2 linked regions of the Struthio camelus genome follow. The main gene of each other region encodes a partner of the protein of the gene in region 2 in a complex. Links are inferred from orthologs where the notes say so. Each region holds a gene or a part of one and is shown on either strand. Other genes may lie near its edges.

The links.
Region 1: the proteins of ROBO3 (region 2) and NELL1 are in contact, whole or in part, in a crystal structure (PDB 6POL), measured with the Homo sapiens proteins. The link is inferred for Struthio camelus from reciprocal best matches to the Homo sapiens genes ROBO3 and NELL1. Residues at the interface, in NP_071765.2 of Homo sapiens: Ser553, Pro555, Val590, Glu592, Phe594, Pro596, Asn600, Thr601, Trp602, Thr604, Ile624, Leu626, Arg630, Gly633, Ala634, Trp635, Gly636, Leu637, Ser638, Glu639, Pro646, Val647, Arg648; in NP_006148.2 of Homo sapiens: Ala440, Lys441, Met442, His443, Tyr444, His446, Tyr458, Arg468, Val469, Asp470, Asp471, Phe472, Ser473, Asp478, Ile492, Cys493, Thr494, Asn495, Thr503, Cys504, Lys505, Pro506.

What each region holds. Positions count from the first base shown.
Region 1 is NC_090946.1:31,296,921-31,311,934, forward strand, and holds the start of NELL1 (protein kinase C-binding protein NELL1), read right to left. Parts: upstream 6,359-15,014; 5' UTR 6,251-6,358; coding exon 6,208-6,250; intron 2,116-6,207; coding exon 1,987-2,115; intron 1-1,986. UniProt on the Homo sapiens protein: Plays a role in the control of cell growth and differentiation. Promotes osteoblast cell differentiation and terminal mineralization.
Region 2 is NC_090963.1:8,803,260-8,817,462, reverse strand, and holds the start of ROBO3 (roundabout homolog 3), read right to left. Parts: upstream 6,116-14,203; 5' UTR 6,056-6,115; coding exon 5,905-6,055; intron 2,163-5,904; coding exon 1,836-2,162; intron 1,124-1,835; coding exon 966-1,123; intron 884-965; coding exon 763-883; intron 674-762; coding exon 535-673; intron 1-534. UniProt on the Homo sapiens protein: Receptor involved in axon guidance during development. Acts as a multifunctional regulator of pathfinding that simultaneously mediates NELL2 repulsion, inhibits SLIT repulsion, and facilitates Netrin-1/NTN1 attraction.

The sequences.
Region 1 (15,014 bases), on a different chromosome or scaffold from region 2:
GTCAGTAAAAGGGAATTCATACAGCTACCAACACATTGCCAACATGCAACACATAACAGACACAAACAAGAAGGGGAGCAGCCAACAGAGTGGCCTGGAACTTCCATCCCACCTGAAAGCAGCAGCAAAAATCCCCCCGTGGATCTCTTTCAGGACAGAGTAACATACCCAAAGTTTTTGCCCTCGTCCTAGCCCAAGGGCTGATGAGCTCAACTGAAGGCAGTAATTTTCCCAAGCCACCTTCCAAGAAGCCATGGACTAGAGGCGATGTGCAAGCCCAGGAGTTACTCCTGTGCAGTCAGGGGAATTAACAAAGCTTATCTACCTAAGGATTTGGAATCATATATTCACCTCCTATTCTGGATTTTTGCTCAATGCTTCCTGTTAACATCTATCCCCCCGTTTATCTGATGAGATGACCTCTACAAGCTGTACTTTTTCCTGCTAGTCTTCTCTAAGTTTATAAGCTACCGGTGGGGTCTTCCAAGGCAAAAAGAACTGAATATCCTTAACATCTTCACCTTCATCCTTTCAAAGCTACTTCTAGTATCAGTGGTTTCAACCAGCATCCTAAAAAAGACACTTCAGACTTGCCCTTCAGCTCCAACCACCAGTTTGTGAAACCTCACCATGACTGTTTGCCAGCATGGTTGCAATTAGGTAATTGCAATTCGAATTGCACAGAGTGGCAATTCGAAATACTAAAATATTTTAAGTTAGGCCATTGTAATCTTTAGTGGGATTATTGTACTTTAATAGTGTTCACACCTAACACACAAACCTGAAGTCAGGGGTATCAGATGCAAAACGATTTATATTTTTAAATGACTAATTTAATGCCTTTATTCCAGACCTTGATCTAGGAATCAGTAAAAATTAAATATTTGACTCAACATAGCGTAAGACATGGGAAGGATGACTAACAAATTCTGAGGTGGTCTCCAGAAGCCCCTCTGCTACCAGCACCTGAACTGATCCATCCTCTTGTCCAGGTAAAGAATAAACTAAGATTACAGACCTGCTTCTTTTATTACTTACAATAATGTCAGTAATGCAGATACTGAAATAAAACTAAATGAGATCATAATCTTCTGCCTCCAAGAGAAGCGGACAGATACCAAAAAATAAGACCCTAACCTACTCACTTTAATGTGCAGTAAAAGCACAATAAAGGGAAAAAAACATAGGAAGCCTCCACAACAAAAACGTTCCCTACTATGCTTTAATGAGCATGTTAATCTTAAGAAACATACTATACTCAGCTCTTCTACCTCATGGCTCTCTCTCAATCTGGGCCTCATTTAAGTCAATGCAAAAACATCCCAATTTGTCCAGAACTTCACTCACTGCTCACTTCAAAACAAAACGTAACAAAAAACTTCCATTTTAAAACACTTCACCAGCATTATCCTTGGATATTGAAATTTTAAAAAGCACATTACAACTTGACTTGCTCTGTGCAATGTGACTTGCTCTGCATCTGTTATTGGCTTGGACAGTGAAAGGCAATACTATCCTATTTTCTCACTTCAGCAGCTCTCTCAAAGTTGAGGAAAGACTTGCTACTTGTTACTAAGCAGTGTCAACACATTAGCTGCTTTCTCATCTACCTCCATAACCTCCAGCTGCCTGTGCATGAGTACAAGGGCAGAGAGAAAGTACCCAAGGATACAACCGAGTCCATGCCCAGGGACTACTTTGACACATTTAGTTAGAAAAAATTTTGGAGAGTGTTGAAACCTACCCAAAAACACTTCCCAAGAGATCTTGAAGCTCAATGACCTGACAGTATATTAAAACAAAATATCATATATATTTCAGCAGAGTAACACAGACTATTTCAAAAAAAAAAAAAAAAGAAAAAAAAAAAAAGAGAAAATAGCAGTTAGGTAAGAGCACCATTACAGGGAATCAGTTAGGCATCAAAGCTCCCATGAACTCATGCAGACTGAAGTGGGATAAGAGACTTGAGGAGGCTTGTTTTACCTTGGAATAAAAATGCTTTGCTGGCATTGTGCAGTCCCGACACTTGTGTCACCCCAAGGGTTGTATTCACAAGATCCAGTTCTGTGATGATATCAATCTGTAAGTCAGGATCCATTCCAAATCCTACAGCTGCGAGAGGCAGAGCCAGAGAAAGGCAGAGTTAGATCAATTTTTATTTCAAACCAGGTAATGAAAAGAATGGAGAAGAATAGCTAGTGCAGTCATTTCTAGTATGTGCACACACACACACACTCTACAGTAATTAGTTAGAAGACAGTAACTCTGCTGCAGGAGAGATTTTTTTTCCCCAGTTATTTCAATCAAACTATTTATTTTCCACAGATTTTACTGCACACAAGTTAAAACATTATAAAATTGTTACATTAATCCAGCACCTTTATACAGCAGAAGAGTTATAAATAAATAAAAGCATAACCACCTATGTGAAAAGATGAAAGAGATTAGCAACATTCATCTATTGGCTACACGATTTCCAAGGAGACGTGAGGCCTGGAAATTCTTCTCACATTTCATACCTAGCTGTGACTAATAGATCGGGTCCCACAGCTCATAACCTAAACACAATTTATTTTCCGAACTGGACAAAATGACCCTGAAGGAGATATGGTAGCAGGGCGAAGGAGGCCATCCTGTAATCCAAGGGCCCCAGGGTGATTTCACACAACAGTTTGATATTGCAGACAAAGTGCCTCTGCTGTATTTCAGCACAGCCAGGGCCTGAAGTGTGCCACCACCTACCTATGCATAACAGACATTCATTCACCTAAAGTAGCACCTCCTGGTCTAAGGTGCAGAAGCACAAATCTAAACCTGAAATTTGAAAACGGCTCACGCCCAGGAAAAGACCAGGCACTCACAAATTGCTAGTTTCCTAGGGACAGGAAAAGGCCAGTCTGACAAGGGTCTGTCGCTCTACATAGCAACAGATGTTACATGAAATCTGTGCCTGGGACGTGGATCAAAAAACTCTCACAGAATGCAAGCACTTTCCTCACAATTTTTTCCACTAACATCATTAGAAGTGGGAACAGGCACTAAGAGCGAAAAATCCTGAGACAGCTGAAGTCAATGGTAAAACTTCCACTGACTTGTGTGGGGGGCAAGGATCTCCCCTGCAAAGCACATCCAGACTGATTTCCACTGAGTGGACTCAATATTCAGGTTTAAATTGATTGATTTGTTATTTCAGAACTGTGCTTCTGGATCAGTTAGGCAGCAAATATTCTAGTCTGAGTCTCTGAAAAGCTCTGAGAAACTACTGAGGTGTACAGAACGAACAAGGCGAAGTTACAAGTTCTACTTATAAGTCACCTGTGCCCCAGCACTTTCCTTTTCTTTACTCAGGTATTAAAATTCCTTAGGATGATATGTTGTGCTAATGAAGCAGGATATTATTGCACAAGATGCAGAGCATTAAGAAATACCGAAAAGCAGCTTTAGAAGGTCTCTTTCAACCTTAATCTACAATGAAAATTAAGATCTCTCTGCATCTGGCAGAGCTGAGCCTCCAAGAGTGCTGTCATATCAAAGTGAGCACGTACACATAATAACATGGGGATAAGTACCTTTTTGTAGAAAATTAAAAGGAGACAATATGAACCTGGATAAACATCTCCAAAGGTAAAAACTTCCCAGACACTCAACAACAACAGGCATCAGTACTGTCTCCAGCTTCATCCCTGCTAAACGCTCAGACGCTGAATGAGCACGTGCAGCTGCACAACGTGCGTGCTGACAGACCAAGAGCCCCCTCACCTCCCGGTGAAACATGGGCCCCCAACACACAGCCAGCAGCTCTGCTAGCCTCAAACCCCTCACACACAGCTGAGATGCTCCTGAAGAAATGTACCCATCCTGCTACACCCGACATCAAACAGTGACTACTTTCTTCTAGTACACCTGCCTCTGACCAACAAGAGAGAACGCATCTGCTTATTTTTAACCCACAACAACTCTTCTAGGGCAAGGGCAGCATCCTACAACCCTCAGACACACACACACACACTTTATATATATACGCGTGCATATATATATATAGAGAGAGAGAGAGAGAGAGTGTGTGTGTGTATATACAGACACATGTATATACATATATATATTTATAAAATACATACAGGACAGAGCCTTTCAGGCTAAGAACATGAGAGCAAAGATATTTTTAGGAGACAAACAGAAGGACTTATTTCTTTTAAGGTTTTTGTTCAGAAGAGAAGCACACTGTAAATTGTGTGAAATTACCTGCCAGGAAAGAAAGAAAGACCCCACTGCCTCTGCCAGGATTGAAGTATGCGTCCCTTATTCTAAGCAAAAACCTACTGACACGAAGGGAGGTTGAATAGGTCCTAAAGCTTGTTCAATGGGAAGGATAAACTATATCCAGTAAGACAAATCTTGACCCCACTGAAGTCAGTGGAAGTGCTGCCAGTGACTGAACAGGGTCAGGACTGAACCCACATCTAACAAATACACGCACCCCCTTAAATCACCACAGCCTCACTGCCCTATTAAAACTGTTTATTATAGCCTGAATACCTGAGGCTCAACAAGTACAGATCACTGTAGCTCCGCCAGCTTCAGTGTGCCCCCTTCCAGCCTTTAGGATGCTTTCCAAAGAGGAGACTATTTCTAGCATCACAGCAACTCTTTAGCAAGAACCTACACTGCTTTAAATTCCTAGTCATCTTCTTGTGCTGGCTCTTCAAACTGCACGCAGGCACTCAAAAGCCTGGTTAATAATTAATAAACAACAAATCAGCAGCTTCAGTATGATAACCAAGTCTCCTTTCCCGTGTGGTCTCCCGCAGTCAGAAAGATACCAGAGGCATATCAACTGCACTCGCATCTAGCATGCTGTGCTGCCTCTCTTCACTGGAAGAAGCTGGAAATACCATTTCTTTCTGAAGCAAAAATTAACCATCATCAACCTGTATGCTCTTAGTGGAGAACTGTACAAAGCTGGGGCCCGATCCTGACCAATACAGCTTTTAACTCCTATTTAAAGCAAGCAGGTCATTCCCCTTAAATCAGTGACTTACACAAGCAAGACTCCAACAGTCTCAGCCAGGTTGGGGGGGGAGGGGAGGGGAGGGGAGGGGGGAAAAAATCATCTCAGCACTTTGTGGATTCGGCCCAATGTGAACTGAAGGCGCTGTAGTAGGTTAGAGGATTAAACCATATAATTATGAATGATGTCACCAGGAAATCCCTAAAAGAAATTAACGCTGCCTTATGGCTCTGATAGCTTGCATCCTCCGCTTGTGCTGTTATCACCGGCAGGCACCCAAGCACCAGCAGTCGTGCCATGCTCCATCTAGCAAATTGTGCAGCCATGCAACGTATGCGGTGTATCTATGATTTCCTTGACATGTTACACACTGCATGTTTTGGGATAGAGAAACTTTCAGTAAAAGCACGCTCGAGACAACCTAGTCATTTCCCCACGGCCATGTGCAATCCCTCCAAGGGGGAGAAGCTGGCTCTGCGACAGGCTCTTCGCTGGCTCCTCAGTGGCAATTGTTGCACACAAAGAACTTTCCGAGGGGCTTTGCAATGCCAAACGCAGGAGTTTGGGTTCGTCTCAGTGACCATTTCACGTGAGAACGTGCACTACTGGTGGTAGCACCGCTGTGATCAGGACAGACGGCATTCCCCCCCCCAGCTATCGCTGTGCCAAACCTATGTGATTTTCGATGAGGTAGTAATTACCGCACGAACAGTTATAATTTAAGAACAGTGACACCTACGTATCTGCGGTAATCGCGACGCCCCTGGGAAGGCGCACGGGCACCGCCGAGGGAGCGCTGCCCCAGGCCGGCCAGGGAGAACAAAGCCGCTGCTGCTGCTGCCGCCGCCGCCGGGGAAGCGCAGCGGCTCCTCGGCCGCGCAGCGCCAGCGGCCACCGCGCATTTCCGCCCGGCTGCCGCCCGCGCCGCGGCTCCCCGCAGCGGCAGCGCGCCCCGCCGCGCCCAGCCCCGCGCCGCCCGCCGCTTGCGGGAAACTTTGCACGGCGGCCCTGCGCCCGCGCAGAGCCCGCGCCCGCTGCGCCGCCGCCGCCCCAGCAGCCGCGCAGGGGCCGCGGTGGCTCCCGGCAGGGCAGGGCAGCGCCGCCGCCCCGGCCTCAGCCCCAGCACCGGGAAAGTTTCGGCCCCGCCAGCATCCGCTCCGCGTCCCGCCCGCCCCGTCCCGGCGGCGGACCCTCACCTGCGCCGGCCGCACACGCCCAGAGGAGCAGGAGGAGCCCCATCGGCGCGGCCGGGCTGCGCCTGCCGGCTGCCGAGCCGAGCCGAGCCGCGCCGCGCCTCCGACTCGCGGAGCGGCTCCGGCAGGCGGCGGCGGCGGCTCCGCCCGCTGCCCAGGCGCGGCCCCGACGCCCCCGCGGCGGGGGCTCCCCGCCCGCCCCCCGCCGCCGCCACCGCCGCCGGGCCGCCCCCGCCGCGACGCGCGGCCCCCCCGGGCCTCGCCAGCGCCGCCGCCCGGCCGCTGCCCGCCCGCAGCGGAGCCGCCGCGCTGCCGCAGCGCCGGGCGCACCCGGCCGCGGGGACCCGCGCGGGGGCGGGGGGGGCGCGTGGGGAGCGCAGCGGGGGAGCGCGTCCCGCGCCGCCACGGGCCGCGGAGCCGCGTTTGAACAGCGCCCGCTTTGGCCTCGCTCTTGGCATAAAACCAGCGAGGCTCTGCCTTTGGTAACTATTTTAGCCTCAGTAATAATTCAGGCCTGGTACAAGCGAAAATCGGGTTTGGTCACGTAACAGGGAAACCTGTACCCTTCCACCGGCTGCTTCTGCGTCCTTGCTCAAGTCACTTAGCTGCTCCTTCCTTCACATCTCCCAAGCATCAAATAGGGGTGAAGTCTGTACTTGTAAACCACTTGAGAATCTTTCACAGGTGCTTTAAATTCTCTCTTCAAATATTTGCTACCGCCAGCCTTTAATTTGGACTAATCCATGACGAGAAACCACCCCACACACTGATTATATGCAATTCCCACCAGTAGAAAACCTGACTTAAATTTGAAATAGGACAGCTGGGGCCCACATGAAACGCTGCTTTCAGTAAAGAGGGGCAGGTGAGATGCAGCTGACCTGGCTTTGCTTGGCTCAGACCAAGCCATTTCCCCGGCAAAGCTAGAGGATTCTCCTCCTGCCTCTTCCCCTCGTCATCCCATGGTCTGGTTCTGTGCAAAATTCAGGTCATCTTAAATTCAAAATAATAAACTTTACGTTTGGACAAAGTTAGGATGAAACCAGGAAAACACGCTAATCTAAGGAGAGTTTGCGTTCGCACACCTTTACTTTAGCAACAATAGCATGAGCAAAGCGTATAAGTTGGTTGCCTAATTACTTATTTAGTAAGATCTCTGAAAACAGCTGGTCCTGGCTGCACACAAGGGATACATGCTGGGAAAACTCAGGAGGGGGGAAGTTACTCCAAAACATCTCAGGAACTCATAAATACATTCTTACTTTTATTTAGGGTGCTGGGCTATTGGCACCGTTCTTACCCATAGGGCATGGGGGGGTATATATACATGGTATACAAGTCTACATATTTTTATACATATACATGTATAGGTATATATGCTATGTACACATAGTAACAACAAAAGGAGGTAATGGTACCTCAGCAAGTGAGGACATACCTTTTAATCCCATCCTAATAAAATCATTAGTCTGACTGGTATTTACTCTCTAATTTAGGGAGAGATTTCTTTCTGTGAAATGTGGCTATACATCCTATTCATGTTAGTTTAGCTATATTTGTGCTTACCTAGTAATAAAACCAGAGTCTATGTAAACTCAAAATTAAATCTAATTCAATCAAAGTTTCAGATTTTAAGTTAAACTGGTGTGGAGTCTTTAATGGAGTCACAATGTAAACCTATCACCCACAGATTCTTACCTAGATCCATAATTAGCTTAACCTAAATCTGTATAAAAAGATATTTTAAAAAATTACTGTGGGCACATGCAAAAACTTGCACTGGATTATCAGCTCTCCAACGCAGCTTCGAACACACTCTGACCAGTGTCGTGGCTAGCCAACGCGCTCATCGTGCCTGACTTGTTCTCGTGTTGAGCAGAAACCTTCGAGGAGCCCAGGGACACTGCAGGCAGTATTAGAGGCAGCTGGGCAGGAAGATCTCTGAACGGAGCTGGTCCCAAAGAGGGGGCTCCTATAGTCCAGCTCTGTGCAGAGGGGATATTCTGGGGACAGAACCAATAATTATAGAAGTATTTTCATCTTTTCATACTGGAAAAAAGATAGACGGGATGGACAAAAAAAAAAAGACATTCTCCCAGCCAACACCATTCCCACACTTCCACTAATAATGTATGGCAACCACTTATCTTCCTTTGTCAGTGCAAAGAAAATCCGATATTCTGATACGATCGTGTTGGAAATATAAATAGCTGGAAGGCATGACATTCAGATAAGAATGAGAACTGTGCTCCTGAATGTTCATAGCAATTAAAAAAATATCTGGTGGCACTTTCTCAAGACTAAAGTGTTAGTCCCGGCAAACTAGCTGGATTTCAGCTCAGATAATATGCTTGTGAAAGATTTCTTGCACTCTCAGTCGGGTGTTGCGTGCTTCCTGATTTTTGACCTAAATCATTGTGATGTTGCCAACTGTGTGGTGTTAAACTGTTAGTCCTTTCAGCCACGAAGCTTGTGGCATTTTGAAGTCTGATGAAATATTTTTGATTAGGCCCCAGTATCACTCAGAGTTGTTGTAAGGCTGTTCACATTCCTTGGATGAAAGGCAATCAAAAGCGCTAAGTGTTAACTTTTAAGTGTAGCTGAAGGTAGGAATGGACTCAGCTACCAGCTGAACCACAAATGCTGGAGAGACGACAGCACTTCCACCTGGAAAACACCTTGTAACTCTTAGAACGGAAAATTTTTTCTTTCACAAGTAGTAAGGCTCGCATCCTGTGAAAGCCACTCTCAAAGGGATACTTACAGGCAAGAAATACTTACGGGCAAATTTTACTTTGCAGCCAGTAGAGGGCAATAATTAACAGAAGCGTTTACACCTAAGTACTAATAGCGCAGCCCTGAAGGCAAGAAAAAAACCTGTCTCCTACCAACTGATGAATAGTTGTAAGGGACTGTCGGCTCAGTCCAACAGGCTGAAAGCATCCGTGCTAAGGAAGTAGCCAGCAAACGGCTCTGAATGAGGCCTTAACACAGGGAGAGCATTTCTCAACTCGAATATTCAGTGATGGAGCAGTATCTATTGCTTTTCCTAATTCCTAACTGCATAGTTAGCTGCTGTTTGAAGACTGTGAAGCCTAAATCAAACTTTACAACTGATTAATCCACAAGGTTGGTACAAAATGTGCCCTGGGGTCTTCACTTTGACCATGGCAATTTTAACACCCAAAAGAGTAAAATTATTTCAAACTAAATGCATCTGTTAGCATTGCAATAAAATATGTGCCTATCTTTTAGTCATTTATGTAGCGTACACTGGTTGAAAGCACGGCCTGGATGATACCATACAAGCAAGTTTAAATGGGATGGATTTTTACCTGTTCTCATGGGTTTAAAGATTTAAAGCAATAGTGCCTAATGGTGACAGCAGCCGCCTCTCTCTTACTCCCCAAATCAATGTGTTGTATCACTGACTCACATTGGCTGACTTTGGAGAAGGGACAAATTTAACATGCCTCAGCTTTGCCTCCTGCAAAGGGGCCGGAGATACTCACCTGCCTCTCGGGACAGGGAGAGCGCTTGCTGAGAACTGCAGGCTTCTCCAGGATGAAACGTGTCTTACGTGCGCAAGAAGTATCGCAGTCCCCCATCATTAGGTCCTGCTGTCTCCTGCACGTGCGCATGCGTAGCTCCTCTCAGAGCAACGCGCTTTACAGCCGGACCAACGTACCGCTTCCTTTGGGAACTGCTGGCAAATCCTGCCGAATCACTCTTCGGCCACCTCCGAGATGAGGCCCTTGCCTGGAACTGCTCTCACGCTCTTGCCAGAGTGCTAATATCTGTTTTGTTCGCCTATCTGCTTGACACCACTTTGTGATCAGATATGGCACTTCAGCTATTGTGTTTGAGGAAAGCACTGCCTTTCCAGCTGCGAAGCAGGCTGGATCAGTGTCGCTTTGCTACTCAGGTGCTGGTAAGCGGGGAGCCTGCTCACCACGTGCTTAGGACGGCACACGTGCTGCTCGGCCTTGCGCTCACCACACTGCAAAAACTCAGCTTTCACTGAAAGCTGCAGTAGTGCTTCCATTTGCATTCTTAGCTTGCACCTTCCCTTCCACCTTTCATTTTCATCTCCCTCTGATATGAACCTCTCTTGCCTTTAACAGTTCAACCACCTTTGGAGTGACTGAATTGATGGGATTAAAAGGATTCAAGCAAATTCAGCTGGTCCTCTGATGAGTAATCTATTATTCAGCAAGCTACAGAGCATCCTGATAGTTAAGAATCCAACCATTTAATTGATATTTGTTGCTGCAGCTGTGCAATATCTCCATTTCCCAAGAGGGCTGTTTCCAGTTGCTGCTCAAGGTTTCTAACAATCAAATGGATCAATTCTGCAGATACCTTAAGGCTGTGTGTTAAGTAAGAATGATGTTTGTGGTGTATATTGGGTGGGGAAGGAGAGAGTCGAAAAAGAGAAGTTCTGTTCACCACACACTGTCAACATATTTTATGTTTTAAGCACTGGACATTTATTTAGAGTCTTTAGAGCCCATACATTATTGAATAATTTTAATTTATCACATTCAAATATAATAGGCAAATATATAATACAATAAATTGCATTTTTACACATAAATACAAAATCTGAGGTAGGGCCTCAAGAATAATGACTTCTTAAATGAACAACATTCAGCATTATAATATGCACTACATGAGATATGTATGATGCATCCTTTGTAACATAATATATCTTCTGCACATACAGCTAATGAAAAAATTATAATGACCTTGTTAGGGTACAAATCTTTATCCATAGGCAGCAGTACCCCATAGAATGCCTGTAAATATATATATATATATATTTATATATGACATTACGCAAGTAATTAAGATTTAACCCATCAGCGATAGGTCTGTAATAAAGTGCCACAGGACACAGGGTGTAAATTCTCAGCTGGTGTAAATTGTCACAGCTCCAAACAAAGCTGCGACAATTTATACCAGCTAAGCATCTACCTTACAAGGTACCCTACATAATATAAATGACAGATAACAACATTTTTTTCCATCAATCTGTATTTTCCCAACAATGGAAGGTCCCTATAAGGCAAATGGTTACCTGAAGATGTCCTTAAAACGTTATGGGCAAATAATAATATTGCAAGCAATAAGGTCCAGCCTGGTTCTCACATTTTAAGCTAAACCCACCGGGAAAACCGTTTCTCTTTGGTGACAGCCTGCCTGAGGGTGACAAAGGCAGAAATCACAAATACCCCTAACCCTCCCCTTTCCAGTCAGCAACCTGAGCCCCTCTGGAAGATCAAGCTCTGATTATTTCACAAACACCTTACATGCACACCATTTAACTTCAAACCAAGAAGTAAGTGTCTCATAATCATGCCAGACATGACAGCATCATTAGCAAAACTGAGACAGTTCCTGGGACAGCACTTGCCGTAGCTGCGCAGCCTGCAACCCCCAAGCCATACAAGTCTGTCTGCAACTTTGATTGCAAGAAGTGGAGTTGCAGAATAAGAAACCAACAGAAAAGCAACATCTGCCACAAATAAGCAATTACTTTATCACAGACAGCAAGGAATTATATTATCCGTACAACTACACACATACTCAAAAAGATGACCAAAGATGATCTCAATAAATTGAGATTTGGATTTTGATGGTAAGAGATAGCGACAGTGTATTGGAAGCAATCTTCAGTGCTGAGGCACGTCTAATGTGGTCACTGGAGCAGAACCTAGTCAAAAGAATGCTTTGACTAAACCAAAATATCATGTAAAGACAACCCAAGTCTTTCTCAGTTAAGGATCATTTTGTTAAACCCTTCTTTTGGAAACAAAGTGCTGCCATGGTTAGCTGAAAAACAGATTTTGAACACTATATATTAAAAATGCTAGGAAGACCCCAAAGAATTTGAAGATGGCAAGCATTTGCATTAAGTATAATTTTTAATGCATACAATAGTGCATCTCAACTCATTCAAAAATCCAATTTCATTTCAAAGAAAAAATATGCAACAGAAGTAGTTCTCACCAAATTTGAACATTTTTTACTCACAAGATAGATCTGCAAGTACGTACATCACATTTTTACTAATATGGCTTTTTCCCCTCCTTTTTAAAAGACCTTTACTGGTATTTACTTAGATACTAAATTTATTTTTAGAAAACTATCAAAGTACATGCAAACTTTTCTAGAATATGATAAATGAAGTACATTCCCAAACTGCAAGATTACTTCTCATTTAAAGAGGACACTGCTGGTTAATTTAATCTCAACGTTCAGATTTGACGAGTAAAATACTTTTTAAAAGCCTGGTGTGAAAATTTTCCACTTTTAATTTACGGTGAAAAACTTCAATTCTTCTGTGATTTTTGTACTCATTTCTTCCCCACTCCAAATGTCTTTGCAAGCCCAGGTTTAGACGTTAAAGCTGAAGATAAAATCAACTAAAACAAAATCAAAACCTATCACCTGTTTTCAGAGTCTCAGAGTCAGGCCTAATCCTGTGCTAATGACTTCCACAGGCACAGGAACAACACCTAAATGAAATGCAGGCAGATTAATTACCTAAATCATGGAAAGCAATTCAATTTTTCACATGCATTCTGTTTTAGTAATCCAAGCCAAAGGAAAGATGTGCTAACCCAGCAGTATTCCTCCAAATGACACCCCTTCTGCACTTAAATAGACAGTAATTGACATGCTTACACCAAGGCAATTTTACCGCAGTTAGTTAATCCTGGTTCAAACACATCCTGAGATAACAAATTGGGAAGGGAAAGGATTCAGAACTATTAAGTGATTTGAGTGTGTGTTTGTTTGTTTGTTTGTTTTAAGAACAAAGCCTATAAACACTTTGGGGCTTGGTTTTTTGTTTTTTTTTTTGTTTTGTTTTTTTTAATCCCAGCAAAACAGGATTGGACTCCAAAAATCAAACCAAGACTTTAGATGATAACGGTAGACACCTAAAGCTATTCATCCTGACAAAAATATGCAATTCCCACTAGATGGTGCTAGCTGGTTTAGGTTCCTTTCTTCACCTTTCCAGGTGGAAAGAACTCCTGCAATTCATTTTCCTGCGCAGCACAGTCTGCTCAGCCTCACTGCCACACGGGCGTCAATGGCCACCTTGTCTTTATACAGCTTCATCGCATCAAGCAGAGTGTGGCGCCTCCAACCTGCTCTGCCAGGAAAACAACAACCCAGGAGAGGGGAGAATAGCAGCTCCCCTTGTGAAAAGGGCTGGCAAAGCCAAAAGAAGCCGGCGCAGCTTTAAGGCAGCGATGCTTGCAGAGGTCCGAGCGGTGCTGCTGCGCCAGGCGGGCGCTGGCGGGGCCCCTGGGGCACAAGCCTTGCAAAATCTGTCCTCGCCTGAGGATTAAACGTCTCCAGCAGTGCCTCTGACTGGCAACACTAAGTTCCCCCGTGGAAGAGGAAGTTCAGCAAAATGATTAATATATTTAATATACATATATATATACGCGCACACACACGCACACAGAAAGGAAGTTAATAAATTGTGGAAGAGTTGCATTAAGGTTTAGGTTTTTTGTTTTGTTTTCTTCGACAGGATGAAAACACTATGTCTACTGATCTACGGACACACGTTAACTGAAGAGTTACCTGAGACCCTGTAATGTACAGACAGACGGACAGACAAAAAAGAACGGGATAGAAACAGCTCCCTGAAAGGAAAGAACATTTATCGGCTACTACTATAGTGTGGGCGGGGAGGGAAAAAACAGGCTAAACTACTGTAAGCTCACCATCTCTACACGGATTGATAAGATACTTATAGGGACATACAACATCACTAGCACACACTACGTGAACACTGATCACTGTTGAAAAATATCATATATGTGTGTGTGTATAGGCTATAACAAGATAGTAAAGGTTGCGTTTTTGCCAATTATTGAAGATATATTTTTCTCCCTCATTCTAGTGCATTTACAATAAATTGGGCTAATTTGCTATTCAGTTAAATAAATTGATTCTTAAAAGCTCTATTTTTACTAGAGCTTTACTAGGTAATATAACTATTTAAGTCTAACACTCATATCGCCATATATATCTGTTTTCTAAATGGTAATGATTTAGAAAGTCCTATTGCAATGCAATGGCCATCTACTAAATTGTCCTCTTCCACCACCATTACATTTTGTGCATCTAATGTTGCATCCATGTGGATGATTATAGTGGTTAGTTGTTGGTTTTTTTAGTTTTTTCTTTAATGAAAACACTTTAAATGCAAAAAAAAAAAAAGAAAGAAAGAAAAAGAAAAGATAAACTACGTACATTCCAGAGAGAACACTGCTTTGTAGAAGAATTTACGTGCTATATATATAATATATAGACAACTGGGGTTCTGCTATTTCCCCATTGGTTGAAAGAGAAGAATACATCTAAAGGTTATATAAAGATGTTTACAGGAGAATGACTGGGGAGTCACAAAGTTGAACAGCACATCTAACTTCTAATAACTGTTGTCAGGTGGTAACTAGACTACACTTACCACTGTAAGAATACAAAATTAGGCACAAATTATATGATGGCTTCTTGAGGAGATACTGCAAACAAAAGCAGAGAAACAAGGAAAACTATGTTCAGAGTTTTGGAGTTAAGTGGATAAAACTGTGCTTGCACTTACTGTATAAGCAGTTTGCCAATGGAGCAAGGTTTTCGACACTTGGTATAAAGGAGGCATTTTTGATTGAAAAGGCAAATATCAAATTATTAATAGAAACATATGAAAGTACTTAAAACTGTGATGCCCATTCAGTTTGGCACTATTTCAAAACCGTTTTCCAGGCTCAGGGACAGTTTAG
Region 2 (14,203 bases):
ACCGGCACCAGGTAAGGGTGCCAGCTGCAGCGTGGATGCTGGCATGCAGCAGGGGTGCCAGCACACCACAAGGATGCTGGATGCAGCATGGATACTGCGTGCAGTAAGGATGCCAGCATGCAGCAAGGATGCTGTGTGCAGCAAGGGTGCCAGATGTGGCACGGACACTGCCATTTGGCAAGGATGCTGGACGCAGCAAGGGTGCTGGCTGGCAGCACGGATGCTGGCTGCAGCACAGACATTGGATACAGCACAGATGCTGCATGCAGCACAGACACTGCCATTCGGCAAGGATGCTGGATGCAATGTGGATGCTGGATGCAGCACAGATGCCAGCTGCAGCACGGATGATGGATGCAGCACGGATGTCAGCTGCAGCATGGATGCCGGATGCAGCACGGATGCTGGATGCAGCACAGATGCCGGATGCAGCACAGATGCCGGCATGTGACAAGGATGCCAGCTGCAGCGTGGACACCGCCATGCAGCAACCTCCATGCCGGCGTCCCCCCCGACCCAGCCCCCTCTCCTTACCTTCCCGGCGGCAGCTCACCATCGTCCTTGCGCCAGCGGGCGGCAGGCGGCGGGTCGCCCAGCACCTCGCAGGCGAACTCCACCGTCGCCTCGGCCAGCACGGCCCGGCTGAGCGGCCGCTTGCTGAAGACGGGGCGCTCTGCGGGGAGGCCTCCGTGAGCCCCGCCAAGGGACCCGCCTGCGCCGGCGTTCCCCCCCCGCCCCGCTGCCAGCCCCTTCCCCACGCACCGAGGACCACCAGCTCGGCCGGCTCGCTGTCCCGCTCCCCCACCATGTTGGTGGCCACGCAGACGTAGGCGCCGGCGTCGCTTTTGCGCGTGCTGGCCATCATCAGCTTCCCGCCTCGGATCTGCCAGGAGGGAGGAGAGGGAGGGTAATGGGGAGGGGTGGCGGCGGGGGGCACGAACCCCCCCCCCACCCCGGTGCCTCACCGTGATGCGCTCGTCCCTGTCGCTGAGCCGGGCGCCGTTTTTCTTCCAGGAGACGCTGGGCTCGGGGTGGCCGCGGGGAGGGACGCACTCCAGGACGGCCGGCTCGCCCGCCGCCACCACCACGTCGCCAGGCGCCTGGCGGAAATCGTCCCGCAGCACTGCCGGGCAGGGAAGGCAGGGGGCTGCGATTTCCCCGGGAACCCCCCTCCTCTCGGAGCCGAGCGCAAGCAGGGAGATTATCGCCCCGTAAGGCGCAATAAGCCCTGACGATGCCGCCTTAAGCAATGGCACGCGTAACCGAGGGGCGTTAAGCAAGCTGGCTCCCTTGCAAAGCCCTGAAAAACCACGGCGGGGATGCTGCAGGGGGGAAACATGTCAAATCCGGACACTTTAACCCAACGTGGGTCCCGTAAACCCTTGGCAAGGAGATTTTCCGTCTGCTCCCCACTGGCACGGCCTCTCCGGGGCAGGATTGGGCTATAAAAAGGCCATTTGAGGTTTCCAAGGCACTCCGAATTCCCAATTTGATACTAAAATCCTGAATCAGCCCCGCATCTGACCCCGACCCTCGTCCTTAAGAGACCCAGGACTGAGCAGGACTGACTCGGCGCCCCCGAGAGCCGCGGCGGGGGGACGAGGGAGCAGCACCCAGGAAGCCAGGACGCCTGGGCCCCTCGGGCTCCCCGGGGAGGTGGTAGGGGCAAAAGGGCACCGGGCAGGATCAGCCCCCACCGGCCAAGCCCGGGAGGGGAAGTTGCCGTCCCGGCGGGCGAAAGCCCCGCTGAACCGAATCGGTACCTGTCGCAGCTCCCGGAGCGGCAGGCCCATCACCGTGGCCTCAGGCCTGCCCAACGGGGAGGGGGGACTAACCGGCCACTTCGAGGGAGGCGTTCCTGCTGGTGGCTTCGCCCAGGTAGTTCCTGGCCACGCAGGCGTAGACGCCCTCGTCGGGCTTGCTCCTGCGGCCGTGCACGACGCGGAGGAAGAAGAGGGAGCCGCCGGGCAGGAGGGTGCGGTGCGAGCGGGGGTCTTCGCGGTCCGTCTCCACCCGCTCGCCGTCCTTGTACCACTCGACGGCGGGCGTGGGGCGGCCCTCCGCCTTGCAGCTGAGCGTGGCCGCCTCGCCCTTGGGGACGATGAGGTCGGCCGGGTGCTCCACGATGCGGGGCGCCGCGTCCTCCGGCGCCGGCTGGGAGCCTGGCGTGGGGGGGGCGAGGCGGCAGGGTGGGTGCTGGGGGTGCGGGAGGTGGCACCCGGCGGTGGTCTGCAGCACGGGGTTGGGAAGGGGCGGGGGGGCGCCTCGGCGGGGTGGACGCCAGGAGGTAAGATGAAGTGTGGCCGGGCCTCAGCCCGGTGGGGCACTGCGGGCGGCCTCGCTGCTGGGGTCAGGGCCAGGGCCCCCCACGCTGCGCTGCAGCCCCCCAGGGTCCTTACGTGGGGGGGAGAGGGAAGAGGGGGACCCTGGGGTGGGGAGGAGAAGGAAGGGGGGGGCCGGGGCCCTTTTTGGGGGGGGACAACACCCTGTCTGCCACCCCAGGGTTTTGGCTGAACGGCACCCTGCAAACACACACCCATCACCAGCATCACAACACGGCCCGGTCTCAGCACCCCATCCCCAAACTGGCGCTCCACCCTCCCACGCCAGGCAATTAAACTGGAGGTTAAAGAAAAGCCACGTCCCAAGTTTTACAGCCCCGGGGAGCTGCGTTTTCGGGGATTCGGGAGGTTTCCAAGCCAGACGTTAACTTTTTGCCCCTGCAGATATCGCCCTCCAGGCGAGCAGCGCCTCGCTTTGGCAACCCGTCGGTAACGTTGGCCGGCTGCAAGGCGCCCTGCAGCTGGGAGCCCTGGAGCCGAGAGCAGGTCGAAACGGCCCTTTGGGGTTTTTTGGGGGGAGGTTTAGGGTTTTTTTACACCAATTCCCTTCTGTGGCTCTTCCCACCCATTTTTAGCAGCATTGCTCTGGATCGTTTTCTCTGAAAATAACCCGTTGTCAGAGCACCGTTCCTGCCCCGCAGCAGACATTAAGGTTTTGCAGTCAGGAGACAGCAAATAAGTCATCGTGCTGCCAGGGCCACCAAGACATGGTCTATCATGTCCCCACAGCCACCATGACATGGTCCATCATGTCCCCAGTGCCACCCATAGCATGGTCCATCGTGTCCCCACTGCCACTCATGGCATGGTCCATCCTGTCAGCAGTGTCACCACGACATGGTCCATCATGTCCCCAGAGCCACCACGGCATGGTCCATCCTGTCCCCAGTACACCCATGGCATGGTCCGTTGTGTCCCCAGTGCCACCACAGCATAGCGTGGCATATCCCAAGTGCCACCCACGGCACGCTCCCTCATGTCCCCAGCTCCCCAGCGCCACCCACCGCATGGCCCATCACATTCCCCAGTGCCACCTGTGTCACCGCCCATCCCGTCCCCAGCGCCACCCACGGCGCGTGTCCCCGCGCCGGTCCTGCAGTTCGGCCTGCGGGCGCTGAGCGTCACTGTCGTGCCAGGGACCGGCTGCCGGGCACACGCACAGGCACACGCGTGCCCGCGCACACACGCACATGTCCCACCTCTGGGGACACGCGTGTACCCAGGCACAGGCATGCACGCACCCGCGACGCACGGGACGGTCCCTTTCCCGGTGCCGGACCCCCAGCACCCGCCAGCACCCAGGGAGCCACTGCCACCTGCCCAGCACTGCTGTCCCCAACCCCCTAGTGTCCCCCCCCAAACCCAGCTCCCGGAGTCGATGGATCACAGCCATCACCCCCCCAGCCCCGATTTGGCGCCGCAGGATGGCCCAACCCCAAATAAGCTTTCCCACGTCAGGCCACAGGTGGCCGCGGGGACAGTGGGTGGCCGCAGGGACGGGGAAACCCCCCTCACCCCCTGCCAGCCCTGGCACCGCAGGGCGCCCGGCAGCTCATTAAGAAAGCGCTCGGCACACAGCACGGGAAAGTTCATGCCAGCAGGAGATGTGGCAGGCCGTGCACCCCATCCCCGTCTTCATCCCCATCCTCTTCCCCACTGGGCTTCGGCCCCCCTGCTTCTCCCCACGGCCACCTCGCCTGGATGAACGACCCCAAAGCTGTGGCCGGCCACTGCGATTTAGGGTCTGTGGGGATGGAGACTGCCAGGAGCATCTCTCCGCTGCGGGAGGGATGCGGTTGCCATGGAGGCAGCATCCTCGGGATGCTGCGTGGTACCCGGGCGGCGATTCCCCCCGCGGCTTGGGGACGCTCGGAGCGGGACAGCGGCGGGTCCGAGGCACTGCTGGCCTCGCGTTCCCCCACCGCAGCTGGGCACGGCCGGGGCCACAGCTGAACCCAGCGGCTAATTGGGACAAGCGGGTGCCCCCTCGGGTGCCCAGCTCCTGCGCCAGCACCTGGCCAGCCGGAGTGGATGGGGGCTGCTGGTGGCTGGGCAAGGGGGGAGGGTTTGGGGGCTGCGATCCTCCCTCCTCCCCCGTGATTGAGCACCTGAATTTAGGGTAAAATTCAAGTTCGGGAAGAGACTAAAGGAGGCACGATGAGCTCCAGAAGTGCTCAAAATGCAGCCTCCGAGTTGGACGGTCCCCCTCACTTCGCAGCTAGCAGGGGGCTCCCCGGCTTTTCCCCCGAAAGTGGGGTGTGGGGAGGGGAGGGAGTTAGGGCATCACCCCGTTGCCAGGCTCACCGCCCTCCCCGTGCCGTGGCAGCACCCTCCCTCCTCCGGTGGGGAGCAGGGGTGGCCCCCTCGCACCCTGAAAGCGCCAGGCTGCCCCCCGGCTCGGAAACACGGGGAGGGACGCGGTTCAGGGCTGCCAGCAAGCTCGGGAAGTTGGGGCTGGATCCGGCTCCGTGCTACCTCACGGGTGGGAAACACGGGACTGGCCCGGCTCGGGGCTAACCCCCCCGGCTGGGGAAGTTGGGGCTGGATCCAGCTCGGGAAGTTAGGGCTGAACCCGAGTTTAGCCCCGACGTGGGGCTAAACTCCCCCAGATCGGAATCCGGGGGCTGGACTCGCCTCGAGAAGATGGGGCTGGCCCCGGCGTGGGGCTAAAACCCCCCGGACTGGAGAAGTTGGGGCTGGATCCAGCTCGGGAAGACGGAGCTGGACCCGGCTCGGAGCTGCCCGCCGGCTCGGCACTGCCGGCCAGCTCGGGAAGACGAGGCTGTCCGCGGCTCCGTGCTACGGACACGGGTGGGAAACATGGGACTGGCCCGGCTCGGGGCTAACCCCCCCGGCTGGGGAAGTTAGGGCTGAACCCGACATGGGGCTACACCCCCGGCTCGGAAACGCGGGGCTGGACCCGGCTCGGGAAGATGAGGCTGGATCCGACGTGGGGCTAAAACCGTCCCAGCTCGGGAAGGCAGGACCGGGAAGTTGGGGCTGGACCCGGCTCGGGAAGATGAAGCTGGATCCGACGTGAGGCTAAACCCCCCCGGCTCGGGAAGTTGGGGTTGGACCCGGCTCGGGAAGTTGGGGTTGGACCCGGCTCGGGAAGTTGGGGTTGGACCCGGCTTGGGAAGTTGGGGTTGGACCCGGCTCGGGAAGTTGGGGTTGGACCCGGCTTGGGAAGTTGGGGTTGGACCCGGCTCGGGAAGTTGGGGTTGGATCCGGCTTGGGAAGTTGGGGTTGGACCCGACTCGGGAAGTTGGGGTTACACCCGGCTCGGGAAGTTGGGGCTGGCCCCGACGTGGGGCTAAACCCTCCCGGCTCGGGAAGTTGAGGCTGGACCAGACGTGGGGCTAAACCCTCCTGGCTCGGGAAGATGGGACTGGACCCGGCTCGGGAAGTTGGGGCTGGCCCCGACGTGCGGCTAAACCCTCCCGGCTCGGGAAGTTGGGGCTGGACCCGGCTCGGGAAGATGGGGCCGGAGCCGGCCGGGGGGGACCCCGGGCCGGAGCCGGCTGGGGGCTGCCGGCAGGCTCGGGGGGCGGCGGGCGCGTACCGTCGAGCGGCGCGGTGAGGTTGCGCAGGTCGAGGGCGGCCAGGCTGGCGTTGAGGCCGAGCAGCAGCTCGGAGGAGTTGGACATCTCGGCCGCCAGCGAGTCGGCGAAGAGGTTCATCTGCAGCAGCGTCTTGAGCAGGTAGCGCAGCATGGTGGCTCCGCGCCGCCCGCTGCCCGGCGCCGCCGCGCTGCGCTGCGCTGCCCGGCTCGGCTCGGCTCGGCTCGGCTCGGCTCGGCTCGGCTCGGCTCGGCTCGGCCCGGCTCAGCTCGGCTCGGCCCGCGGCGCCGCCTCCGGGGCCGGCGGCGAGCGGGGGCGCGGCCAGCGCGGAGCGGGGGGGGGGGGGGGGGGGGGGGGAGCGGCGGGGGCAGAGGGCGGAGGGGAGGGGAGGGGGCACCCCTGCGGGGGGCAATCTTAGGGGGAACAGGGGTGAGGGGCTGGGGGGAACCTGGGGGACAGCCTTAGGGGGCACGGGGGGGGACTGGGGGTAACTAGGGGGGGAGAGAGGTGGGGAACACCCTTAGGGGGTACAGGGGAAGGGGCTAGGAGTAACTGGAGGGGGGGGACAGGGCCAGGGGGGCTGGGAGTAACCCCTGTAGTGGTCCAAGAATGGGGTTGGGGGGCCTGGGCATCCCCCTTGGGGGGGCACAGGGATGGGTGGCTCCGGGAAGGGGGCACCCTCCAAAGCCATTTCTGCACCTTGCACCCCCAATGCGTGCCGGGGCGCTCAGGAGATGATTGCGCTCCTGCTCCACTCCAGCAGTCCTGCCAGCACTGGTGGCGGCGGCGCTCAGCGGCCGTTCCTGTGTCTCCCCCCCCAGGCCCACCACGTTCCCTGCTACGGGAAGAAAAGAGGCTGGTTTGGGGCATACTCAATGCCCCGGCATTGCCGCCCCCGAATCCCCCGCTGGTGCCCCTCTCCTCCCTCGTTAAAGGCTGGCCGCAATCAGTGCGCTTCACTGACGGCGGCCCCGCGTGCCTCCATCCGTGGATTAACACCGAGGCCAGGACAGGAGAGTGGGGGCAAAAGAGCCACTGGAGGGAAAGATGGAAAATTAGGGGGTTTTTGGTGGGGGTGCAGGGTTTTATCCTGCAGGGACCACCGCCTCCCAGCATCGCGTTAGGAAAAGCCCCCTGAGTTTCTCGCTGCCAATTAGCCGTTTTATTAACACACTGGGCTACTGTGTGAAGCAATGCGCCTTTCGCAGGCGGCACGCCACTAATTAGAGCCGTGGCCAGGTGCCCTCCACTGCCGGGCTGCTCATTAAACCAGCGCTAACGACCTGCACATCTGGATGGGCTGAAAGAGCCGTCGGACGCCTGGATGGCGGTGAGCAGGGCTCCGGGGCCGGGTGCACATCTGGGGCGGCACGCGGGCACGCGCCTGCTGGCACCGCCGGCTTTGAGAGGTGCATAAGGGGGGCTCGCAGCTGTGTGCACATCTGGAGACAAGGCCTTGCGGAGCTGCTGGAACATCTGGAGCAGAGAAACCCCCCCCCCGCCACACACACACCTGGGAGTGCAGGGGGCAACGTAGGCCTGCACATCTGGGTGTAGGTGATGCTCTGCATGCACAGGCTTGGCTATTGTGGCACATCTGGAGACACGGACACCTGGCACGCGCACATCTGGATGCAGGTCATGCTCTGCATGCACATTCAGGGTCAGGGGAGCCTCTGCACGCCAACACATCTGGCTGCACGTGGCGTTCTGGGGGTGCACACATCTGGAGGCAAGGGCCGCTCCGCAGTCGCGCACATCTGGAGGGGTCAGCGCTCTCAGCCCTGCTCTCCGTGCCTCAACCTCCTCGGAGCTTCACTCACATCCCTCTGCCTCCCGCCGAATCTCCTGGCTCTGGGTGCCGCGGTGAGCGCCTAGCTCCGTATCTGGGCATCTCCTGCCCCATGTATTATTCATGCTCCCTCTTCTTCCTGGCTAAGGGAAGATAGCAAATAAATATTAATTTAAGAGCAGCACAAAGCTTTTCTGTTTCTCCTGCTGAGGTTTCAGCTTCCCGGGGACTCCTGGTAGGAGAAGGCAGAAATAAATTACCTGCAAAAACCCAGGTTATCAAATAAATATCGAAACAATTATTCAGGATGATAATTTTGAAAGCAACATCGGCATCGTGCTGGACTATCAAACGCCACGGCGTTTCCCTACGCCGCCGCGGAACACAGCGCTCCCTTGGGCTGAAGGATCCAGGCATCCTGCCTCGACCCTAGCGGAGGCGACAGAGCCTTTTCCGGAGGGGCTGGGAGATGGCTGCTGAATTACGGGGGAATGCTGCCGGGGCGCTGGCTTTTGCAGGCCACTTGGCATAGCGAAAAGCTGTGATTTGTGCGAGGCCGAGCGCTGGGGCTCCCCGGAGCTCTTTTTGGGGACCTCAAGGCCGAAAACTGCCTTGATCAACTCCAGTCCCCTCTTTCACCACAGGGCGATTTAAGGAGCTCTGAAGTGGGCTTATTGCAAACCTGGTGCCATGCCACATCCCCCCCCTCCGGCTCGGTGCCCGGCACCCTTTAAAGGGAGTGCTTGGAAGAGAGGGGAGGTGTTTTCACACCGCCCCAGGCCCATCTACTGCAGCCAGTGACATCCTCCGTGTCCATCCCGCACTGTCCCGCTTGCCCGAGGCCTGAGGCTGGGTGATGGGCTCCCGGGTCCCAGCCCCAAAGCATCCTCCAGGCTCTGGCTGGGCGAGCGGAGCTGGGAAAAGGAGACAAAGGAGCCGTTAATATTCCCCCTCACCCCAATTTGTCCCGTTAATCGGCTCCGCAAACAGAGAGCTGGGCCGAGGGCTGGGTGATCGCCTCGCCTCTTCGTTAGGAGATTTATTATCGCTGGCGTCGCGGCTAATTGTCCTTTTATTTGGCGATTAGCTGTTGTTTGCTCAGGGTTTCCGCCGAGGAGGCGAGCGGCTCCCGGCCGCTGCTCGGCACAGCCCAAAATCACCAGCGTGTCGGCACAGGCCGGGCTAATCCCCCTTAATCCCCCCGAGTTTTTTAATCTGGTTATGCTGAAGAGGGGCTCGCCACCCTCGTTCCCACTTGACTGGAGTTTTTTGGGTGATGGGGGAGCTCAGCGCCAGGGGATTCCTGCACAGAGCCAGGCAGGGCCAGGATGGACCATGCCACTCCGACATCCCCTTAACTCTGCCCAGCTGGTGGGTACAAAAACAGGGAGATGGCGACGGTGTGCTGTGCCAAGCCAGATCTTGTTCCTCCCCTCGCATCACTCTCGGCTCAAAATTCCCCAGAAGAGGGGGAATTCCTCCCCCCCACCCCGGAGGGCAGCCGGCTCCTTCCACAGACGCAGGTGGAGAAATCGAGGCACAGAGCAACGAAGGGGCTGGCGGGGACCCAGCCGGGATGGGAGCAAAGTAACGACAAGCGACAAGGCATTTGTATGGGCAAACGAGCGGCTGGGAAGCCCCGAGCCTCGCCGTGCCGATGCCGGGGATGTAAATCCCCCTCGGCTCAGCTATTAGCATATCCCCGGGGAGCCCCCCGAGCCACTCGCCATCGACTCCATCGGCTCAGCTGGCGCAAAATTCGGCGCTTTGAATATTTATACACTCCAGGCTGGGCCCAGCCGCGCAGGGCAAATCGCACTGGCCCCGTTTCGGAGGAAAACGGCCCCAGTTTCAGCAAGAGGAGGAGGAGGACAGGAGGTGGCTGTATGGGTACATGGGGTCTGGGCGATGACCTGTTTCTTGCGATGACCTTGCAGGCTGGAAGATGCTGAGATTTTTTTTAGAAGAGGGATGCTGAGATTTTCTATAAGTGGGATGCCGGAGGTTTCAGAAGAGGGATGTCGGGTTGTTTCAGAAGAGGGATGCTGAGATTTTCTAGAGGAGAGATGCCGGGATGTTTCAGAAGAGGGATGCTGAGATTTTCTAGAGGAGAGATGCCGGGATGTTTCAGAACAGGGATGCTGAGATTTTCTAGAGGAGAGATGCTGGGGTGTTTCAGAAGAGGGATGCTGAGATTTTCTAGAGGAGAGATGCCGGGGTGTTTCAGAAGAGGGATGCTGAGATTTTCTAAAAGAGGGATGCTGAGATTTTCTAGAAGAGGGATGCTGGGGTTTTTAGAGGACCGATTTTGGGACGTCTCAGTCTGGCGCAGCCTGGAAGGTGGCAGGGCTGAGGTCTCCCAGCGGGGCATCCCAGCCTGGCTCATTACCACTACCTTCGGGAAGCCCATGTGTTCTCGAGATGAGCCACTCGGGGTATATTAACATCCCATTTCCCCCTCTTTAATAGAGACTTTGCCCAGCTCATTTATCAGCCGGGCCTCCCTCCAGGGCCGGCGGAGCTCGGCAGCTGGGTCACGGCACGAGGCGAGAGCCGCTCGGCCCCGGAGGAAGCCCGGTGCCGGGTTTAACAGGTAGTGGCTCATGTGCGACTGGCTGGTTTGGGGCCGCCGCATCATTGGGAAAGGCGCTATCAAAGCTGTGCTTAATTGGGTGGAAGGCTTGTTTGCGCGGCCGCTAATGGGGGATCAGAGGGCCGGGGACCGGCGGCTGACGGCCGTACAAAGGCGCCCAATTACTTGCTTGTCTGCATTATGTATTAACCCATCTGGGGCCGCGAGATTGCCTCTGAAAGGCAGACAAAGGCGGAGGCGTGCCGGCGGCCGCGCGCCCAGCGAACCCGTCCGCGGCCGGGCCAGCTGGAGGAGTTCGTGCGTGCACGCGTGCGCGGCCACCCGAGCTCGCCCCCCTCCACGTGGAGCTGCCCCGGCCAGCCTTCCTAAATATTGCATGGCCACCGCAGGCATCAAGCGGCTTTCAGCTGCTTTCATCAGCCCGCCGGGGCCCGCAGGAGAGAAAGCCGCTTGGTTCCCGCGCTTGGCAGGCGCGGGCGGTTTAATTGCCATCGCCCGCGCTAAAGTCCCTTAGTGCTTTTCGGCAGCACGCACCCTTGCAACGGGTGGTGAAATCGGGGTCAATGCTAGTCGGGGGATAGCTGATTACTTGCGCGCTTGGCTTTTCTTTTTCTTTTTGTTTCGTTTTGCTAATTGTTCGTTAGCTTTATTTAATCTGAAGCGAGGCAGCGGGCCACCGCCATCGGCCTGGGCGCCTGCCGGGAGCATCCTCAGCCCCGCTGGCCTTCTCCTGAGGCCCTGCAGAGCATCTCACCACGCCGGGGGCTGAGATAGTGTTACATTTATTTCCCCACCTGCTGTCTTGAGCCCCCCCCCGCCAGCTGAGAACGGCTGCCTTTCGGTGCACCGGTGAACGCCTGCAGGCTCGGGAAGACTAACCCAGCCTGAGGCGGCTCAGCAGCCAAGGCACCTTCCTTGCATCTCCGTCGCCTGGGATTCACAGCTGACGGCCCAGGAAACCAAGTTTTTCCTCCCTTTGCTTGCCATTCCCTTTGAAACGCCGCACTGGGAGGTCAAATATTTCCCAGCTGCAAAGTCGTTTTTAATAGACGAACCGGCAGCTTTAGCCTTCGTGAAAAAATAAAGCGCCGCCAGTCGCTCCAGCAGGTCACTAGACGAGCCGAAGCGCGCCTCCACCGCTCCTTCTGCACCGGCATTTCCGCCCCTATCGCTCCTACCCGTCTCGGCCCCTTAATTAAATTAATCTCCTCCGATTTGTACCGGGGAAAGAAAAGAGCGATTCTCGCAGGCACGAGGCGCCGGTACGGTTTGATCCGATGCGAGGCGAATATTAATTCAGCCGCAGGCAGCGTGCATCTCATCAGCGATTCCTCCTCTGCCCCGTGGCATCTTGAAGGGCTCTGCAAAAGTAATCAGGGGTTTGGGGGTTTTTTGGTCGGTTCCCCCTCCCCCCCCCTTTTTAGCAGAGTTTTAAAATGAAATCCCAGGAAAAAAGATTAGGAAATGATAATCAGAGGATTTAAGCGGAGGTCGCCTGCCTCCCACGCAGGGGGGTGAGACGGTGGCCGTCGACGAGCACGAATCGGGTCGACTTTGCCGCCGCCGTGCCAGGGCTTCGGGGTGCGGGGTGTTTTAGTCGGAAAAGCCATTTTCCGCCAAGGCAAACGTATTTTTCCTCCGCTCTGTCTTCCCGTTTCGGGGCGTAGAAGGGTCGGGATGGCACACAGGGACGCAAGCGCCTGTGCGGCCGCCTAGGAGCGTTTGGCCCCACCGGCATCAAATCACCGCGTTTCACTCGCGAGCGGCCAAATAGCCCCTAATGGAGACGCGGGGCTGCATCCCAATCAGCCGCTCTGGGTAAATAATGAATTTTTCAATACCTAATTAACCGTTAACCTCATCTGCATGCCTCGGCCGCGCCGCATGCCTGGGATTAGCAGGAGCCCCTCTAATTGGCTTCTGATTAGCTCCCTAACAGGGGTCTCTCCAGCAGGCAAATAGCCGCCAGGGGCGCCCAGCGCCGCAGAGGGCGCCCAGCTCCCTCGCTGCCCCCCGGGGCGTGCAGACCCCCCCTTTTTTTTTTTTTTGCCTACCCGGAGCCGTTTTCGGGCTCCCCCCCTGCCCAGGAAGAGGCCTTTAATATATTCCGACAGCAGCGGCTCATGAAATTTGTAACGCCGCAATCTGGGTAATCCCTGTAATTAGAATCGTATAATTACGCTGCTGATTGCTCCCGGCCCGCTCTCGCGGCCAGCTGCGGTTGCGGCGGGCACGGGAGCGCGGCGGCCGCCCGCGCTAATCCCGCCGGAGGAGCCGGCTCGCTCCCGTTTGTTTAGCCGAGCCGGAGCCGAAAAACGGCATGATGCGGGTGCCGGGTGGCAGAGTTTTGGGGGGCGTTTTGAGGGTATCGGTTGGCGTGGGAGTGGATTTTGGGGGGATAACGGTGCAGGGGGGAGCGCGGGAACCTGGCGGAGGGAGAGCGCGGGAAGCAGCTGATGTCCCCGTCCCTGGCGGGATGCCGGGAGCAGGGGGACGCGCGGAGGAGTCCCTCGCCCCGGCCCAAACTCTCCCTTCATTAACGTCCCCCCTCCCCCAAAACCTCATTAATCAAAGGCGGGATGAAACGAGCCCTCTGCTCCCGGCCGCTTTAATTGCGAGCTCGGCGGGAGAGCGGCCTCGGCGCACACGCGCGTGCGGGCGGCCCCCCCCGGCCAGGAATGGGGGGGGGGTTGTCTGTCCCCCCCCACCCAGTCCTGCTTCTCATCCGTGCACCGAGCGCGGCAGGTCTCAAGGGAGCGAGGAGGCCGGGTTTCCTGCTCGCCCCGCTGCGTTTTGGGGCTGAGGCGAGGGGTTTTTTTTGGGGGGGGGGGGGCGTTGTTGGGGATCTGGGTGACCGCAGGTTGTTGGAGGGTTTGGGGGTGTGTGCGTGGATTTGGGGGGGTTAGTGGGGGCTTGGGGTTGTCGGAGGGGTCGGGGTGGGTACAGGTTTGGGGGCGTTATTAAGGATTTGGGGTTATCGTAGGGATGTGGGGTCGATACAGATTTGGGGGTGTTCTTAGAGATGTGGGGTTGTAGGGAGTGGAGCTGTTACAGATCTGGGGGTGTTGTTAGGGGGTTGTTCTGAGGGGTTGGGGTGTCCTTAGGGATCTGAGGGTGCCGTGGACTTGGGGTTGTTACAAATTTGGGGTTATCATTAAGGATTTGGGGTTGCTGCGGCTGAAGGAATGTCACTAGGGATTCGGGGTTGTTACTAACGATTTGCGGGTGTCGTTAGGGATCTGGGGTGGTTGGTACGAAGTGGGAGGGGACACTGCAGATTTGGGGCACTTCCTAGGGCGGCACTGCAGGGTCTATAGGGCCCATGGCCCTATAGGGGCTACAGGGTGCCTGGGCAGTCCATGATCCTATAGGGTCTATGGGGTCTATATCCCTACGGGGTCCCTGTCCCTATGGGGCCCATATTCCTGGAGGGTCTGCAGGGCCCACATCCCTGTGGGGCCTACAGGGTCTCTGTCCCTATAGGGTCTATCTATGAGGTTTTCATTGCTATGGGCTCCATGTCCCCATAGGGTCTATAGGGTCTGTAGCCCTATGGGGTCTATGGGGTCGTCTACACCCCTGTGGGGTCCATGTTCCTCTGGGGTCTACAGGTTCTCTGTCCCTATGGAGTCTACAGGGTCTCTCCCTGTGGCGTCCACGTCCCCGTAGGGTCTATGGGGTCTGTGTCCCTATAAGTGCCATGTCCCTATAGGATCTACAAGGCCCACGTCCCTATGGGGCCTACAAGGTCTATATCCCTACGAAGTCTATGGGGCGTCTTCATCCCTATGGGGTCTATGTTCCTATAGGGTCTATGAGGTCTATACCCCTATGCAGGCTATGTCCCTATGGGGTCTATGGGGTGTCTCCTTATGGGGTCCACATCCCTGTGGGGTCTACAGGGTCTGCGTCCCTA